Linked DNA regions of Arabidopsis thaliana. The protein of the gene in region 1 interacts with the protein of each later gene in a pairwise test. Each region holds a gene or a part of one and is shown on either strand. Other genes may lie near its edges. The genes, in order: AGL29 and AT4G12210.

Region 1 (10,404 bases):
CAGCGATCCTTGGAGCATGTCATAAGAGAAAAGATGTTGCGATCAGAGAGAAGGCGATGAGGATGTTGATGGAGATGAAAGAGGCGAAGAACGCAGGAAACTATGTAATCTCTTCTAATGTTTTAGCTGATATGAAGATGTGGGATGAGTCTGCGAAGATGAGGGCGTTGATGAGAGACAGAGGCGTCGTTAAGACACCAGGATGCAGCTGGATTGAGATCGAGGGTGAGCTAATGGAATTTCTTGCCGGAAGCGATTATTTACAGTGTGGCAGGGAAGATTCCGGTTCGTTATTTGATTTGTTGGTGGAGGAGATGAAGAGGGAAAGGTATGAATTTGGTTACATTCACCTGTGACTTTCTCGGAGAGTGCAAGTCTAGTAAAATTTGTTGTAAAATAAATTTGAAGTTTTATTTTGAATGTATATGAAACTTAACACTAACAATTAAAATTACTTTGAATCTATAATAGTTACGTCTCTCTCTAGTTATTATTTAATCATTCAGTAATCAATTTTTTTCTGTTGGTATTGTAATCACCGATTCTTAAAATTAGTAGAGAAAGGCAAAAAAACCGAACGGACCAGAAAAGAGAACATTCGCCAAACCAACCAACAACCGTTTGGGTGAGCTTGACGAGAACGACGTCGCACCCGCCATTTTCTCCATCCTTGAAGCAACACCTTCTTCACTTCAGATCTCTTCTTCTTCTTCTTCTTCTTCTTCTTCTTCTTCTTTGCTCGCACCTTCCGTGCTATTGTATTTCTAGGGTTTCGGATCCTGTGCCTTACCTTAGATCCGACGGTGGAGTAGAAATCACTCTCCCTGTCTCTTCCCTTCTTTTTTGTTTCCAGTTTTTGATTGAAGATCCCTTCGTGGATCCACTATAATGGCGGATTCTCAGCCAATCACGCCTGGTCAGGTACGGTATCTCCTAACTTTGTTTTTTTTTGAAGCTTCAGCGTCTTCTTAAATTTCATTTTTTTGCTACGGTTTCAAGGATTTGAAATGAATAGTTTCTGTTGAACGAGATTTCTACTATAATCGATAGGTTGTGGAGTAATTGAATTTACAATTTGGATTAGTTTACTAGAGGGATCAAATTTTGCTAGTGTCTTCAAATGTAGTAGCTTTCAACTTTGAATTTTGAAAATGTTTCTCACCAGAGATTTGGTTTGGATGACCTTTCATATTTCTTTAATGCAGGTTTCGTTTCTACTCGGAGTCATTCCTGTCTTCATAGCATGGATTTACTCAGAGTTTCTAGAGTATAAGAGGTCTTCATTGCACTCTAAAGTGTATGTATCAGGACTCTAATTTAAATGGCTCTCTTGTTATATGTATCTAACCTCTTAGTAACCTATACTTCTTACTTGCAGTCATTCAGATAATAATTTGGTTGAACTTGGTGAGGTAAAAAACAAGGAAGATGAAGGAGTAGTTTTACTTGAAGGAGGTCTTCCAAGATCAGTCTCTACAAAGTTTTATAACTCACCTATCAAAACAAACTTGATTAGGTAGTTTTACTGATTTCTTCCTTTGTGTTTTTTTGTTTCTTAGAGTGGAGTGTTCTTTCAACAAACATAAACCATTTACGTTTGTCTACTTGTAGATTTCTGACGCTGGAAGACTCTTTCTTGATTGAAAATCGAGCAACCTTGAGAGCGATGTAAGTTCCTTAATTTTATCAGAATGGATTCATACTGTTCTTCATTCCCTCTCATGACCGTATTACTTCCTTTCAGGGCTGAGTTTGGGGCTATTCTTTTTTACTTTTATATTAGTGATCGAACAAGCTTGCTTGGAGAGTCTAAAAAGGTGCCTCCTTTAAATCTATGTGATGGATTCTTTTCTCAGTTTCAACTGGTCATCAAAATTCTAAAACCATTTATGTGTTATATATAGTGTTATAGCACAGATGTCGTTAATAGTTTAGAGATAGAAATCTAACATCTGAGTCTAAAAATGGTTCTGCAATTTGTGACACTTTTTTCGTATACTTTCCATTTTGCAGAATTACAACAGAGATCTTTTCCTCTTTCTCTACTGTCTTCTCATCATAGTTTCAGCCATGACATCCTTGAAGAAACACAATGACAAATCACCTATAACAGGAAAATCCATTCTCTATCTTAATCGTCACCAGACTGAAGAGTGGAAGGGATGGATGCAGGTAACTGATTCAGTATTTTCTCAGTAGGTGACCTTAACATTTTCACATGTTTTTGCTCCTGCTTAGCAGAATATATCTGAGTTTTTTGGTATCACGTTTAGATGTTTTGTGTGTGTTGCAACTGTTTTCCATGCTAATTTACAGTTTTTGTGTCTTTGCAGGTTCTATTTCTTATGTATCATTACTTTGCTGCGGCTGAGATATATAATGCAATCAGGGTTTTCATTGCTGCCTACGTCTGGATGACTGGGTTTGGGAACTTCTCTTATTACTATATCAGAAAGGATTTCTCCCTAGCACGATTTACTCAGGTCATTTCAATTGCACAGTTAATTAGTTGACCATGATATATGCTTCTAAGGGACATGTTGTTTTCAATGACTCAAGATGCTCATGAAAACTTTTACTTCTTCCAGATGATGTGGCGTCTTAACTTATTTGTGGCGTTTAGCTGCATTATTCTCAATAATGATTATATGCTGTACTACATCTGTCCAATGCACACTCTGTTCACTCTTATGGTGTATGGAGCCCTTGGTATCTTCAGTCGATATAACGAAATACCATCAGTAATGGCTTTGAAGATTGCTTCATGCTTTCTCGTGGTTATCGTGATGTGGGAGATTCCTGGCGTTTTTGAGATTTTCTGGAGTCCTTTAACATTCTTACTGGGTCAGTATCAGACTCTTCTCATATCTTTTACTGTGTTCGGCATGGTCGACTGCATATCCGTCTTGTGCTAAAAAAATCCTGCCAATGTTTGTTGTCACTTGGTCACTGGAATTAGTGTTTTTGTATGTTGACTAACATTTAGTTTTTTTCCTTACACAAGTACAGGATACACTGATCCAGCTAAACCAGAACTACCACTTTTACATGAATGGCACTTCAGATCAGGACTTGACCGCTACATATGGATCATTGGAATGATATATGCCTATTTCCATCCCACTGTAACTCTTGAACCTACAGCCTTCTCGTTTTTTCATATCTTCTCATGAACCCTACGATTAAAATATTTTTTGACATTTTCATTTCAGGTAGAGAGATGGATGGAGAAATTGGAGGAGTGTGATGCCAAGAGAAAGATGTCAATAAAGACAAGCATAATTGCAATTTCCTCATTTGTGAGTTTGGGTTCTCTCTGGCTTATGGATCTTATGTATTTGATATTATTCTGATGCCCAAGTTGTTCCCTATATTGTTCAGGTTGGTTACCTATGGTATGAATACATATACAAGCTTGACAAGGTTACATACAACAAATATCATCCCTACACATCGTGGATTCCAATAACGTTAGTATCAAATCCCGTTTTCTTTCACCCCAAACATTAAACTTTGAGATGTCTTACTCTCTAAATTCTGACTTTAGCTTTGATTATTTTGTCTTAGCGTCTACATCTGTCTGCGAAATTCTACACAACAGCTGCGTAATTTCTCCATGACACTATTTGCGTATGTTTCTCAATCTTAGTCTCATTCTAACCAAGCTTAGTGTTTTATTCTGTACACAACTCTAATATGACATGACTGTCATATCTTCGTAGGTGGCTCGGCAAGATTACTCTGGAAACCTATATTTCTCAGTTTCACATCTGGTTAAGGTCAGCGAGAAACTGTTTCCTTTCTCCCAATTATGTAGGCAAGAGACCATTTGTCTGAAGGATCTAGGAATGAAATTTTAACTGCAAATTATGTGTTCTGCAGATCGAATGTGCCAAATGGACAGCCTAAGTGGCTATTATGCATTATTCCAGAATACCCAATGCTCAACTTCATGCTCGTCACGGCCATCTATGTCTTGGTAAAGCAATTGTAGAATCCATGAAGAAATCCTGTATTCACGATACGTTCTATTATTGTAATATGTTCTTTTGATTTATTTTCTTCAGGTGTCCCACCGACTTTTCGAGCTTACAAACACGTTAAAGTCTGTTTTCATACCAACAAAAGACGACAAGAGGCTGCTCCACAATGTTCTCGCTGGAGCTGCCATCTCGTTCTGTTTATATTTAACATCTCTCATTCTTCTCCAGATCCCACACTAACCATGTAAGGCCTTTTACTTTGCATGGTCCATTGCAGCCATTGTTGATCTTGGTGTGTACTCGCTTAGGAAGAGATACAATTCTCGATTAACACGCTATAACCATTTTATTTTGACAGGAGGGACTAGAAACATGTTGAAAAACATGAATCTAAAGCTGCACAGAGGTTTCTATGTGAAACTTGCTAAAATAGATACAACACACATCTCATATCGACAATAAAAATTTGTTTTCAAAGATCAGTATTTTTTGAAGCTTGCCAAGTGAAGCATCTTTTGGGTAATTAGAACCAGAGAAGCTTCAAAAAATGGCTTAGAGTGAAGCATCTTGTGGCATTTCGACGGCATCATCTTAGGACGACTTATCTTGTTCGTTTTCTTTCTCGTCTCTGTTGTAATTTTGCTATAAGTTTCTCATATATAGTTTCATTTTGTCTTTTGTTCGTCCGTATTTGGTAGTTTGTCCAAATACAGAACATATGAATTTTACAAGAGTGGATATTTCAATTCAATTGAGTCTTCAGATAAAACGCCAACACAGTTAGAGAAAAAGAGGTTCGATTTCTATACAAAGATACCACAAAGGAAAGTTCACAAATTTACATAGAATAGACCACAAACAAACTCTCTTTCTCTGCTCTCATTCACATAATAAGCAGCCGCTCACTTTCCGGGGACGAAGTTGGTGGCGAAGGCCCAAGCGTTGTTGTTGACTGGGTCGGCCAAATGGTCGGCGAGGTTCTCCAAAGGTCCCTTTCCGGTGACGATGGCTTGAACGAAGAATCCAAACATAGAGAACATAGCCAACCTTCCGTTCTTGAGCTCCTTCACCTTCAACTCTGCGAAAGCCTCGGGGTCAGTAGCGAGGCCCAATGGGTCGAAGCTGCCACCTGGGTAAAGCAAGTCCTCTGCTTCTCCCAATGGACCATCTCCGGCGACTCTGTAGCCTTCAACAGCTCCCATGAGGATAACTTGAGTAGCCCAAATGGCTAAGATGCTCTGAGCGTGGACCAAGCTCGGGTTGCCCAAGTAGTCCAATCCTCCGTCGCTGAAGATCTGTGAACCGGCCTTGAACCAAACCGCTTCTCCGAACTTCACTCCGTTCCTAGCCAATAGCTCAGGGAAAACGCAGCCTAGGGCTCCGAGCATGGCCCATCTGCTGTGGATAACTTCTAGCTCACGGTTCCTGGCGAAGGTCTCTGGGTCGGCGGATAGACCAGCGGTGTCCCATCCGTAGTCACCGGGGAACTCACCGGTAAGGTAGCTCGGGGGCTCGCCGGAGAATGGACCCAAGTACTTGACTCGGTCAGATCCGTACCATGGGCTGCCTGATGGACCCTTTGGCTTGGCGACAGTCTTCCTCATGGTCACACGGCCGCTTCCGAGGACATCTGATGCGGCAGGCTTCACAGCCTTTCCGGCGAAGGCAGGGGAGGACAAAGCCATGGTTGAGGAAGCCATTATAATCTTTGTTTTTGTGTTTTCTTTTTTTTGGTTGTGACTGGTGAGAGTGATTGAAAATGGTTGGGGTATACGTCCACTTTATAGCAATGTTAAGAGTAAGGTTTGTTATCTGTGAAGTATCTGTATCTGTTTAGTGATTGGCTTATGAGATTTTGGGATTGTCGTTATCTTGTCCTATGTGTCACTCTCTAGTCCATAAGCTTTTGCTAGATTCTTTAGCTGCAACGAAAACACTTGTCATTTGTACACAAAGAAACTTTGGGGAAATTTTCAAAGATAAATGCTTGAATTATTGGAAAGAAATATTTGAAATTATTCCAATCTATTTTTTTCTTTTTCCTTGTTTTCTTTAATTCCAATCCACTTCATGCTCTCAATAATATTTTCTTTTTTTTCTTATCAAGTTTGTTTCGAACGCCAAACTACAAAGTTTTTAAGTGAAACTAGAAACACTTACCAAACAAATATATATCAATGTTATGTAAAACAATGCAGTTAGATGAAACAAAAAGTGATACGAAGTTCTTACGATCATAAGTTAATAATATAAAACCGTCGACAATGATATTAACTGATACCTTTGATTGATTTTGTTGAATGTTTTCGGCAACAAATATGACTGGTAAGTTTTTCTTGCCAATACGAATTAGAAAACATGTCTTTGAAGATGAACTGTATTTTTTTTTTTTACTTTGTTGTCATTTTAATGTACTTTCTTATCAGGATTAAATCTTCTGTAATTTAGAGTAGTTTTTTTAACAAGATAATTAACAAACTTAGAGTAATGAAAATTGAGATGTTCAGTTTTCACTCATATTTCACATTTTGGTGAAAGAGTGGGTAGTATGCAACGTTCTAAGTATGTTTGGACTTTGTATCATGTTGTTTTGATTCTTTGACGACATGTCTATTTGGGAAACACCAATGACGTGTACCTTGAGACTGATACGATTCAAAGGGATAGAAACACGTCAGATTTACAAGTGGCACGTCTTCAATGGACAATGGGTATTCCAATATGCTAAGATGCTACGAGATATCTAATTTATCTAACACAACTCAATTCCAAACCAAAAATCTGATGCCAGCTCGACAAGACAAAAAATCTAAGCTCAAAAATGTCAACAACCAATAGAAATCAAGGCATTGACGATATCACGAGATAAGCAAATTAAATCTTCAAGTTTTGCAATTCATATGTACGTTATAAATACCCAAAAACCTCACCGTAACCTAGCTATCCAATTTCATCACATCTTATTAACTAAAGAGCCTTTTACTTGCGCCACACTCTCACCGCAATGGCCGCCTCGACAATGGCTCTCTCCTCTCCTGCTTTGACCGGAAAGGCCGTTAAGCTATCCCCGGCGGCCTCCGAAGTATTTGGAACCGGCCGAATCACCATGCGCAAAGCCTCCAAGCCCACCGGTCCATCCGGCAGCCCATGGTACGGATCCGACCGAGTCAAGTACTTGGGTCCATTCTCCGGTGAGCCTCCGAGCTACCTCACTGGAGAGTTCCCCGGTGATTACGGGTGGGACACTGCCGGTCTATCCGCCGATCCCGAGACCTTCGCTAGGAACCGTGAGCTAGAAGTTATCCACAGCAGATGGGCCATGCTCGGAGCCCTAGGCTGCGTTTTCCCTGAGCTATTGGCTAGGAACGGAGTGAAGTTCGGAGAAGCGGTTTGGTTCAAGGCTGGTTCACAGATCTTCAGCGACGGAGGATTGGACTACTTGGGCAACCCGAGCTTGGTCCACGCTCAGAGCATCTTAGCCATTTGGGCTACTCAAGTTATCCTCATGGGAGCTGTTGAGGGCTACAGAGTCGCCGGAGATGGTCCATTGGGAGAAGCAGAGGACTTGCTTTACCCAGGTGGGAGCTTCGACCCATTGGGCCTCGCTACTGACCCCGAGGCTTTCGCGGAGTTGAAGGTGAAGGAGCTCAAGAACGGAAGGTTGGCTATGTTCTCTATGTTTGGATTCTTCGTTCAGGCCATTGTCACCGGAAAGGGACCGTTGGAGAACCTCGCGGACCACTTGGCTGATCCAGTCAACAACAATGCATGGGCCTTCGCTACCAACTTCGTCCCCGGAAAGTGAGTTTAATTTGTGATCGAGTTGTGTGTATCCGGTTTGTTGCATCTTGGAAATGTGATGCAGATTTCATATCTTGTAAATTACTTTGTATGTGTGTGAAATATTTAAGAAGCTTTATGATATTGATGGATCAGTCACTTACTATTTACTAATGTGCAAGAACATACTTAGACCTAATTCGGTGTTCACACAACATAGTTTGGTTCCAAGAACAGAGATAATACCAAATGATTTGATCGTACCACATCAAAGTCCAAACAAGTTTGTTTTTGTTCTTCAAAATAACTAAAATATATCTCAAACCATCCTTATATGTTTTTAACTTTTTTGTCTTTCACTTTTGGTGTGACTTCTTCAATCGGATTTTGATGTTGCATTGTTGAGAGTTTTGGTGATAAGGAATCCAAAGTCTTGGTCATAATTTTTCTCTTGTTCAAATTTAATTGCACGGAATTTTTCATGCAATTTGGGTGTGTTTGGTATGCAAATTGTCAAAGACTTTATTTTTGATAATGTAGTTCGGAGTCTTGAAAGCATTTGTAGGTCTTATGGTCGACGCTCTTGTTTTAGGTTTCTAATTAAAAAAACATGGTTAAGTTGAATGTGACTGAACTCATAAGTCATTCGAGTGACTCGCAAACCTTTGGACTCCTGTCCTCAGTGGGCATTCGCAAACAAAAACGTTTGAAACGGTCCATAACTTTTTATTTTAATTCAACGACACCATTTGCAAAAACTTTTGAACTACATAACATGGTCGATAACTTATTAATCAACGAGAGGTCTACAAAGAAGAAAAAAAAAATCACTTTGGAGAATAACGACCAGAATATAAAATAAACTTCTAAATTTTGAATTACATAAAAAAAAAAAAAAAAAGAAAGACCAATTATGAATACCATTTTTAATTCTTTACAAGGTAATGAATCCCATCTTTTGTCTATGTTCTTAAGAAATAAAGGGAAAAAATATGAATTGTTAAAGATTCATGTATGTTTTGAATACACAATTAGAAACTATTCAATAGAAAAAAGAAAAATGAAAATTTAAATATTCATGGATGTTTGAATACACACAATTAGAAACTATTCAACGCCCATATAAGGCAATTCAAGATTTTCAATTAAAAACTTGCTAAATCTGCACCCTTGTGATTCTCCACCTCCATTACTATATATGACCCTCGTTAGGTTCAATGAAAATTCTCTACCTCCATCTCCATTACTAAAAACAGAGACATACAACACCAAAATCTTCTTCTTCACCAACATATTCACTTTCACAGCAAAAAAAAACGAGAGGTTCTCTCTTATTCGTACCGTTTTAGCAAACAAATGGGTCGGAGAAAGATCAAGATGGAGATGGTTCAGGACATGAACACACGACAGGTTACCTTTTCAAAACGGAGGACTGGTTTGTTCAAGAAGGCGAGCGAGTTAGCCACGCTCTGCAACGCTGAGTTGGGCATCGTTGTCTTTTCACCAGGAGGCAAGCCTTTCTCCTACGGGAAACCGAATCTTGATTCTGTTGCAGAGCGATTCATGAGAGAATATGATGATTCAGACAGTGGCGATGAAGAAAAAAGTGGTAATTACAGGCCTAAACTGAAGAGGCTGAGTGAACGTCTCGATTTGCTCAACCAAGAGGTTGAAGCTGAGAAGGAACGAGGCGAGAAGAGTCAGGAGAAGCTTGAATCTGCTGGGGATGAGAGATTCAAGGAGTCCATTGAGACGCTTACCCTCGATGAACTCAATGAATACAAAGATAGGCTTCAGACAGTCCATGGTAGGATTGAAGGTCAAGTCAATCACTTGCAGGCTTCGTCTTGCCTCATGCTTCTCTCCAGAAAATAGCTAGACCGACTTGTTAGAGTTACATTCTATTTTTTGTATCAGCCTACAGAACTTACCAACACATGAAAGTTATTGCTGGTGTAGAATTTTCTGTCATCTATGGGGTGTGACTTTCTATTTGACATCAAATGAAAATGTACCTGGAAATTTGTCTGTATTAATCTCAAGTGTACTTGCTAAACTTGATCAGCTTTTTCGTCACTCTGCAGTCTGGAATTTTTGTTTCAAACAGAATCGAGACAATAAAAAGAAACAGTAAAACCCTTTGGCAACCACTCAAGAAACTGGTTAGTATTCATTGATCTCCAAATGCAATCCACAGAAACATGAGTATCAGTGAAAGAATGATCTCAAAAACGAAACAGAAACTCTTAAATATCACCGATATACAAACCCATCCTAGAAGGCTTAGAACAATGTTTCTAATGTGGTAGAAACTAAAAAGTAATCTATTCAGAATAGTCTGAGTCGGTCTCTGATTCATCGTGGGCACCTGATTCCTGCAAAATAGTAAAATGAAAAGCTCAGACTAATGTTTTATCACCGCATCAGTGGGACACTGATGTGAATAAATATTAAGCAAAAACAAGGAAAAATGAAGAACCCACTGATGTGAATAAATATTAAGCAAAAACAAGGAAAAATGAAGAAAACGGTGGTACCATTCTCTTGGTATATTCTGTCATTGCTCGGTGAAATTCTTCCCTCTTCTCAGTAGCTATATCATAATACTTTACCTTTTCCTACAAAACAGTTGAGGAACAAA
Region 2 (9,848 bases), on another chromosome or scaffold:
TCAGATGGATTGACAAGCAAGTACGAGATCGAATTTCATTACTCAACACAAGCGGTGACAGAAGATACGTGACGGGATTACAAGTTTGGTTTGCAGCAAGAAGTTAACTTTTTTTTTCACTTTGATCAAAGTTGTATTTAGCTTTTTCAAACACACGTTGCACTGAGTGTACAAATGACACCTTTCTTTTGAATCTAATTTAACATTACATTCAAAAAAGAAGATCAAAAGCTTCATATATAGAAGAGGTGATTACGGAAGATCAGAGTCCGTGCTCATCTTGGTATTCTTTGTTTGATGGAAGCTTTAAAAGATTGAAGAAAAGGATGGAAACAAATATGTTGAAATAGCTGAAGTGATTTGTGCTGTATTATCCAAAGAGTTGAAATTTGCAGAAGGACTTCATGTGAGAGGTGAAACAAATCACATTGAAGAAGACGCATAAGGAATCATCATTTAATTTCAGCAACAGCTTGATGTGAAAGGGTATTAAAAATTTCAATCCTCTTCTCTAACTGTGTTAAGCCCTTAAAAACAACAAATTACATTCAATTTCTTGAACTAGTTAAAGAGCGTGCGTGACACAAAATTAGAATTTCTAACTTCTATTGGAAACCTTAATACTCAAAATTACATGAAATTTCCTTACATAAAACCCTAATTTCAATCTTTTTTTGCAGTCATCAATCAATCGTAGAGCTCAGTCCGACAAAGGGGACAAGTGTTCTTACGCTTGAGCCACTCTAAAAGACAGCCATTGTGGAAGACATGAGAACAAGTCATGCGTGTGATGTCCCTAGGTTTAGGACCGGAGACTAGACTCTCGAGACAGATGGAACACGGCTCTGTTTCCATCTTCAAACTCTTCAATTCCTCTGTTTTTATTCTCCCTAGCAGAACCATCCTCAATGATCTCTCGTTGTCTGACGTAACGGAGACGGTCAGGTAAGTAACTGTAGCGTCCACGGTCAAGGTAAAGCCGTTGCGCCCAAAACCTAAGTCTATTGCAGCCGTTGAGATCTCTGTGGCTAAGTCATCGCACAAGTAACTCCAAAAGGGGTATCCGACTAATCGATCGTGGAGAAGCGTTCGGATGTGGTCGTGACTAGAACTACAGAGATTGATATTGATGAGAAAAGGTTCTGAAACCTGAGTCCGGCGGGTTTGGCGACCGGTTGTTTGGTCTTCAATGATCTCTTCAGATATGTTTTCGACGCTTATGATGACTGGTTTAAGTTTGAGTTTGGTTCTGATGGAGAGAGTCCCCTTCCACTGACGTGAACTTCCATTTCAAGAGAAGTCATGTTTTGAAACGAACAGAGAAAATCCCAAAGAAAACAAAATCAGAGGAGATTCACACAAAGAAGAAGTCGAAAATCGTAATGAGAGCAAACTGAGAGAAAATTGAGAGAGAAGAGAGAATTGTGAATAGCTTTAGTTAGGGTTACGTAGTGACAGAGATATATAAAGCGTGTTCACGAAGAAATTTCCTTTTTTTATATATGGGCTTTTAATTTGGGTCGACAATTTAACTTGGGCTTTTAGTCCTGATGGATTATGGGATGAGATGCATAATCTTGTTTATGGCTAATTAGGAGAAGTTTGGTTCTTAATTATGTGGTGTGGTTTTGTTTAAATATGCTTGGTTCAATTCCGGTTAACCTTTGGTTAACTGTTTTGTCTCTTCCTGTTTTGTTCTGTGACGTTACTGTAATTTCACTGATAATGCAAAACAGAGAGACGTCGTTTGTTTGCAGTGATGGCTCTGGCTTTTACGGAAACTTCAGTACTCTTTTCGTTTAATTTCATTGTAATTCTTCTCATATAATAGACCTGTGTATGTTCTAGCTTATGATAGAGCACTGTAAGACAATTTACGTTTTTTGTTTTAGTATTTTTTTTTGTGCACAGAAGTTGTTCGACGAAATGACTGTTAGACAGCTACTGGTATGATACAAGTTGTAGACAAATACTATATGACTACTTCTTTAGCTAGGAGGTTTTACTTGAGAGAAAAGTTGCATAGTTTTAGAATGGGCGAAAGCAAGTCTGTTATGGAGAACGTTGATGAGTTTCAGTGGTTGATTGATGAACTAAGTAATGCTAAAGTAGAGATATTTGATGAAGATCAGGCTATATATTTGATGATTTCTTTGCCAGAACAGATTGAAAAGTTTGATGGGAGAGGTGATTACATTTTGGGGAAGACGAAGATCCTTGCTCGTTTTGAGATTCTTGATGTGATTGATGCTTTAAAGATTGAGGAGGATGAGAACAAATCTGTTGGAACAGATGAAGGTAAGAGTCATTGTGTAGCTTTGAGTCTAGATCTAGAAGAGAAGAAGAGAAAGGCAATGAGCATGATTGTTCAGAGCGTAGAAAATCAGAATCTGCGAAAGAAACTTATGAAGGAGAAGACAGCTGCTGGTATGTTATATGTTCTCGACAAACTCTACATTACTAGCTAGATCTGCTGGTAGTGTAGAGTGTAGGACTGGCAGGACTTACCTACAATATAAGCTGTGTAGTTTTAGGATATATGAAAGCCAGTCTGTTGAGGAAAACATCGATGAGTTTGAGAGATTAGTTGAAGACGAAAGCGATACGTTTGCTGATTTCTTTACCAAATTAATTTGATGACCTTACGCTAGACGAAGTGATTTGTGCTGTACTATCCAAAGAGTTCCAAAGGATATAAAGAAACTGCAGAGGAACTTCATGTGAGACGCAGGTCTGTTAGTAGAGATAGGTCAAAATCCAAAGGAGAGAAAGGGGCTTGCTGGATTTGTGGGGAAGATGGCCACTACAAAAACGACTGTCCATCTAGGAACTCTGAGAAGCCGAAGGAACATGCTTATAAAGCACAAGAAGCATCTGTTCCAAGAAGGAATAATGCTTGAGCATTTTAGGAAGAATTATACTTTGTGGGAAGTGCCAATGTATGTATCTCTGTAAGTGTCAATATTTCGTAACTTTGATTGGTGACTAGCAAATATGTTGAAGTAGCTGAAGTATTATCCAAAGAGTTGAAATTGCATAAGGATATTATAAAGACACACTGCAGAAGGACTTCATGTGAGAGGTGAAACAATCACATTGAAGAAGACACATATGAATCATGATTTAATTTCAGCAACAGCTTGATGAAGGGTTTTGGTTATTTTGTTAAGAATTTAAGAGTTGCAACTTGCAAGTGAATAACTTAAAACCGACAAAGTTTGTAGTTTTTTGTTGTGATTAAAAACTTCTCTAATTGAGTAAAACTCTTAAAAACAACAAATTACATTCAATTTCTTCAGCGTGTGTGACACAAAATTAGAATTTTTTTCTATCGAAAACCCTAATTTCAATCTTTTTCTAACTTCTAATGGAAACCATAATTTCAACCTTAATACGAAAATTACATGAAATTTTCATACATAAAACCCTAATATCAATCTTTGGTTCCAGTCATCGATCGTAGAGCTCCGTCCGACACAGGGGACAAGTGTTTTTACGCATGAACCACTCCAAGAGACAGGGATTGTGGAAGACATGAGAACAAGTCATGCGTGTGAGGTCGCTAGGTTTTGGACCGGAGACTAGATTCTCAAGACAGATTGAACAAGACTCTGTTTCCATCTTCAAACTCTTCAATTCCTCTGCTTTTATCCTTCCTAGTAGAACTATCCTCAAAGATTTCTTGTTGTTTGACGTTACCGAGACAGTCCGGTAAGTAACTGTGACGACCACGGTGATGGTAAAACCGTTTCGTCCAAAACCTAAGTCGATAGCCGCCGTTGAGATCTCTGAGGCTAGGTCATCACACAACCAATGGTGGCTAGCGAATCGGGTACGGAGAAGTGATCGGATGTGGTCGTGACTAGAACTACTGAGATTGATAGTGTCGAGACAAGATAGAGTAGCCGGAGTGGACCGGCGGGTTTGGTGATCGGTTGTTTGGTTTACAAAGATCTCTTCAGATTTGGTATCGATCTCAACGATGACTGAGTTTGCATGTGATGGAGAAGAGAGTTTCCTTTGAAGATTGGTGAAGCGAAATTCCACTTTGCGAGAATTCATGTTTTGAAACGGAAAGAGAAACAGAGAAGTAGAAGAAGAAGACTTGGCAAATCGTAGTGACTAGCGAGAGCAAATTGAGAGAGGAGAGAATTTGTGAAGCTTTAGGGTTACGTAGTGAGGATATATATACGCGTCTTCAACGTTCAGATATTTTAGGTTCTAGTTTCCTTTTTTTCTCTGTCACCTAACAATTTCCTTTTTTTTTAAGAAGTTTCCTTTTTTCCTTTTTAACAGTTTTATTTGTAGAGTTTGATTTGAAGGGGTTTTGGTTATTACTTATTAGTTTAAGACTTAGCAATAATTATTGGTAAGTTTTTAGTGGGTTCTTAAATTAATTTGAGAATAAAATTAAATGCTAAAGGATGTATTAACTTAAGAGGGCCTCTTATACAAGAGGCGAAAAATGATGGTAAGAGACGATGATGTGGCAAACTATGTGTGGGCCATGGGAAAATACAAACTTCATTCTACGAAGACTAATATCTTAAGATGTGCAATGAAAACAAATCAAAATCCTTGAAAGGCTTAAAGCCACAGAAAAGTAAATCAAACTAGTTTCAATACCTCTATGTCAAGAACTCAATGCAATCCAGAGACTTAAAAATCATACTTTTGTTGGCGACTTGATTAGATTCTGCTGGGATAATAAGCTCTGACTGCAAATTGAGGACGAATACTTTATTGAGCAACACATGTACTTCCAAATTGTATTATAGCCATATTTAGCTCAATACACTCCCTGTAACACAATATAAGTAGGTCTCAGCCTCAAAGTCTAGCTTTTTAACTCTAAAAATGCAGAAAGCAATCATTTTTTTCTCAAAAATTTGTTTTGATTATGAACTCTTAAATACCAATTATGAATCTCTTTTATATCTTTGTGTCAATACACCAAACACCACCAATTACTTCATCGCATATATTCCTTCTCTCCACAAAACCACACATAAACCAAAATCATATCTTTTTTTTTTTAAGAATCCTAACTTAATATACTATCATTGAGGATGACTAAACTTAAAAATCTTACCCAAACTCTTAACTACCAAATTTTCAAAATCTATTCCTAAATTATTGCTAAGAGCCATTGTTAATAACCTCCCATTAATGATGGTCCAATGATCTTATTTAAAACCCTTAAAAGCACAAAATTACATTCAATTTCTGGAAGCACAGAGCGAATGAAACAAAATTAGATTTGAAACCTTAATAAACAAAATCACATAAAATTTCCCCAATATAGAGCGTACGTGTGACACAAGTTATGCAATCAGTAGATGAAACCCTAATACTTTCAATTCTTAGAACAAGTCATGCGTGGGAGATCGCTAGGTTTCGGACTGGAGAGATCGTGGAAACAGATGGAACACGACTCTGTTTCCATGTTCGAACTCTTTAATTCCTCTGCTTTTATCCTCTCTAGTAGAACCATTCTCAATGATTTCTGTGTCGTTTGAAGTAACGGAGACGGTCCGGTTAGTAACTGTGACGACCACGGTGAAGGTAAAGCCGTTTCGTCCAAAACCTAAGTTGATTGCCTCCGTCGCGATCTCTGGGGCTAAGATATCACACAAAAAATGGTAGCTAACGAACCGACTACGGAGAAGTGATCGGATGTGGTGGTGACTAGAACTACAGAGATTGATAGTATCGAAAAAAGATGGTGAAGCCGGAGTGGACCGGCTGGTTTGGTGACCGGTTGTTGGGTTTACAAAGATCTCTTCAGATTTGGTTTCGATGAAAACGAGAACTGAGTTTGGTTGTGATGGAGAGAGTTTCCTTTGGTTGATGAAGCGTAATTCCACTTTGCAATATTTCATGTTTTGAAACGAAAAGAAAAACAGAGAAGAGATTCAAACAGAGAAGAAGACGACTTCGCAAATCGTAATGAGAGAAAATTGAGAGAGAAGAGAATTGTGAATAGCTTTAGGGTTACGTAGTATAGTCACATATTTCAGGTTCTAGTGTCCTTTTTTCTTGTCATCAAACAAATTTCCTTTTCTTTAAGAAGTTTCCTTTTTTCCATGTGTTTTGGGTCGATAATTTACTAAATATTGGAGACAATGTTAATTCCAGGTGGATATATGTTACTTATTTCTTTTAACTGATTCTCGATTAATTTTAAGAGTAGTACGTAAAATAGATCTTTATATTTTTGGCAACCGATATTAATTAGAATTCAAAATAGTTAATCCCAAAAAATATTGTTTACATATATGGTATAATACGGTTTGATACGAATCTTTCGTGCTAAATTATCTACTTTTACATTTGCACTATGAAAAATTAAAAATAAAGAAAAGTTTGTGCATTTTTCTGCAATTATTCCAAATATATTAAAAATATGGGTAATTCGGTTGGGAAAGACAGATCAATAAAATGAAAGAAATTATATCAAAATCCAAATATTCTTGGAAATTGATTCATACCGAAATCTAATCAAAACATATGTGAAAATAGATGTTGATGAGTCACATGATGACCATTAATTATTACATACTTTACGTCGTTAACTGAGAATGACTGCTACAATCACGGACCATTCACGGCGTCAACGTTGACAGGCAGTTGATATAGGAGACTCTGTTATCTCGCCGTTATATAATTCCTATCGAAAATCAGAGCAAAAAAAAATAAAAAAGATTAATTGCAAAGTTGTTCGTGAAGAGCAAAAGCGAAATTAAATACATAAATTCGATCGGATGTTGAAAATCTCCGATCGGCGATGAAAGGCGTCTCTTCGACGCCCGGAGATTACGTCTACTTTAAATCTCAGGTTCCTCTTCACAAGATTCCCGTATGTTTCTTCTTCCTCTCTCTCTCTTTGACTTTTGATGAATTTTCGATTCTGCATTCTATTCGGCTACTAAATTAGGTTTAATCTCGAGCTTTTGAGGTTTTGATTTTTGTTTTTTTTTTTGTTGATTTTCGATTAATCTCATGTGGGTTTTAATCGTTTGGGTTTATGCAGAATTTTTTGTGTGAGTAGTTCTATCGTAAATGGGTTTATCCTGCTGAGTTTGGGTTCAAATTTTATGCTTAGAATTTTAATTTTTGGGTTCTTGTCTAAAAGCAAGAACTTGGTAGTCTTTAGTTTAGTGATGGGTATTCTCCATTTTTGATCTTTTTAACTTCTGTAGATTCTTTTAGTGTTGCTTTTGATTTGATCTATGAGTAGCCTGTGACACACTTAGTGATTTGTCTTTGTTTATGTTCGCATATTTAGTTCTTAGCTCTACTAATCCCAAGCAACTATTGAATGGCTCTATAGATGTAATGTTTGTTCGGGTTGTGTTGCTTAGAGTTTGGAAAACTGTGATTTGTTAAGCATTTGTACATGTATGTCCACTGTTTCAAGCTTCGGAATGAAAGATTTCATTTTTTTTGTTTTTTCTTGGAATGTCATTTGCTCAGAGCATAAACAATCTTATAAATATCTAGCTTTATGTGCATGCTAACTGCAGATTGGGACAAAGCAATGGCGTTACTATGACTTTGGTCCAAAGACTGTTCCTCCGCTCATATGTATTCCTGGAATTGCAGGAACTGCAGATGTTTACTATAAACAGATTATGGCACTCTCTATGAAGGTTTGTCAAGTTCTAGTCTTTCAACAGTTATCTGCAAACAATCTTTTCTTAATCACAGGTAGCTTTAAACATTTGTTAGGATATGGTAACTTAGATGCTTATGTGTTGATGTGATCCTTGGGGACTGATTAGATATCTCCAAAAATGTTGAACTTATGTTGTTAAATCTGCAATTCCAGGGTTATCGGGTAATCTCAGTTGATATTCCACGGGTTTGGAATTATCATGAGTGGATTCAAGCATTTGAGAAGTTCTTGGACACCATTGATGTTCATCACGTAAGATCTCTTTAAGTTACAAATCACCATCTAAGTTCCTAAATTTTTTTATTGGTGCGGAAATATATGGCATTGTAAGTGATTGTACTTGACCATTCTTAATAGGTGCATCTCTACGGTACTTCCCTTGGAGGCTTCTTAGCACAACTCTTTGCTCATCACCGTCCAAGGCGGGTTAAATCATTAGTTCTATCAAATACATATTTGGATACTCGTACTTTTGCTACTGCAATGCCATGGGCTCCTTTGTATGTCTCTCTTATACGATTATTCCTTCTTTATTTTTATTGTTTGTGCCTAAGTATTTGTACTGACTCTCAACGCTTTTCGTGATGCTCTGTGCAGTGTCAGTTGGACCCCTTCTTTTTTGCTTAAACGATACGTCTTAACAGGAATTCGTGACGGACCTCATGAACCCTTTATAGCTGACTCTGTCGACTTTGCTGTTTCTCAGGTTGCTATCCTGATTATTTCATCTATGATATTTTCTTGAACGGATCTGAATAACATGTGGACAAGGAATTTTAGATAAACTTACCAGCTCGGTTTCTTTGGTTTACTCTGATTTAGGTGGAGACATTGTCGAAAGATGATTTGGCTTCCCGGTTAACTTTAACTGTGGATGCTGCTTCCGTGGGATCTCTACTACTCTCTGATTCTTCAGTTACTATAATGGATGTAGGTTTCGATTAGCTATATACGGGACTTTTCGTATTATCAATGCAAGTAATTTTATCGTTGTCTAACAATGCTGTTATGTCTTCCAAATCAGACAAATGATTACTGCGCAATACCACAACATCTTAAAGATGAACTAACAGAGAGGTATCCTGAAGCAAGGAGAGCTTACTTAAAGAGTGGAGGAGATTTCCCATTCCTATCACGGCCCGACGAAGTCAATTTGCATCTACAGGTACATATCTACTCAGTATCTAAAGCCAAATTTGAAGTATACATATACTCAGTTTCGACAGCCGAATTTATATACTCCTAAGGCTCTTTTCAAGAAATTATGAACTTTTAAAGAAACTTGAAACTTCTCTACCTATTTTTTAGATTTCATACCGTTGAAGGGATTTTTTTTTCCAATCAAACCGGTTTTATTGCTTGGTAAAGGAACATCATGTTACTGCATCAAAACATTATATTCTTATGATGAATCTCACTCTTATGTTTTCAGCTACACTTAAGGCGGGTAGGAGTAGAACCACGACCCGAAGTGGTTAAAAGCATTCCAAAAGGCGGCGCAGATGGCACAGACGGTAGCAGCCAGAGCAAGAAGAAGAGTGATGAGGAGAAGGACGACCGTAACAACAATATGCCTCAAGACTCTGGAAGCTCATCTTCAGATCAATCACCGACATTTCCAGAAAGTTCCGGAAGCTCCAACGATCCGCCTTTACCCACAGACACCATTCAGTTACTGAGTTCATCATTGAACAACCTCATATTAGTTCAACTCGCTGGTGAAGTTTATCAGTCTTGTGTGGTTTTCACATTGTGTTACTGTACATTGGTTTTGGTTCACGGTGGTGGTTTTATCTCCAGACAATTGGTTTAGTGTTCTTTATTTATTTATTACCTCTTTTGTTGTTTAAATCTTTTTACTTTTGGGTTTCTTTGATCTGTTTTGGTTTCTCTTGACTTTTTGTATAAGTTTGTAAGACAAAGCAAGAGTTCTCTGTATGTTTCAAGTTATTACACTTTTGGAAGAAAACTTTGGTTGGGTTTTGGGATTAAACCAATGTGCTTTCTATTATTTACACATTTTGCTCTTTTAAAATTTAGTCGCTCATTATTTATTTGTTTTTATCTTTTACTGTATTCAAAACAATAACAGTAATAACCTAATGCAGTAGAAATTTGATAATTTTCTATGAACAGTGGTGTGTTTTGTTCCCTAATAAAGTTAAGGAAG

Evidence for each region.
Region 2: the proteins of AGL29 (region 1) and AT4G12210 interact in a two-hybrid assay, tested with the Arabidopsis thaliana proteins (one large-scale study listed by BioGRID).

The regions. Positions count from the first base shown.
Region 1 is NC_003071.7:14,517,831-14,528,234, forward strand, and holds AGL29 (AGAMOUS-like 29), read left to right. Parts: upstream 1-8,840; 5' UTR 8,841-9,119; coding exon 9,120-9,638; 3' UTR 9,639-9,904; downstream 9,905-10,404. Other genes in the region: AT2G34400 (Pentatricopeptide repeat (PPR-like) superfamily protein), read left to right, coding at 1-356; RWA3 (O-acetyltransferase family protein), read left to right, coding at 889-921, 1,206-1,297, 1,379-1,516, 1,612-1,668, 1,745-1,817, 2,014-2,172, 2,334-2,483, 2,589-2,844 and 7 more; LHB1B2 (photosystem II light harvesting complex protein B1B2), read right to left, coding at 4,886-5,683; LHB1B1 (light-harvesting chlorophyll-protein complex II subunit B1), read left to right, coding at 6,988-7,788; AT2G34450 (HMG-box (high mobility group) DNA-binding family protein), read right to left, coding at 10,088-10,138, 10,301-10,381. UniProt on the Arabidopsis thaliana protein: Probable transcription factor.
Region 2 is NC_003075.7:7,277,858-7,287,705, forward strand, and holds AT4G12210 (RING/U-box superfamily protein), read right to left. Parts: upstream 4,063-9,848; coding exon 3,451-4,062; downstream 1-3,450. Other genes in the region: AT4G12190 (RING/U-box superfamily protein), read right to left, coding at 688-903; AT4G12220 (uncharacterized protein), read right to left, coding at 5,391-5,882; AT4G12230 (alpha/beta-Hydrolases superfamily protein), read left to right, coding at 6,788-6,859, 7,527-7,652, 7,832-7,930, 8,036-8,178, 8,276-8,384, 8,501-8,608, 8,703-8,843, 9,111-9,491.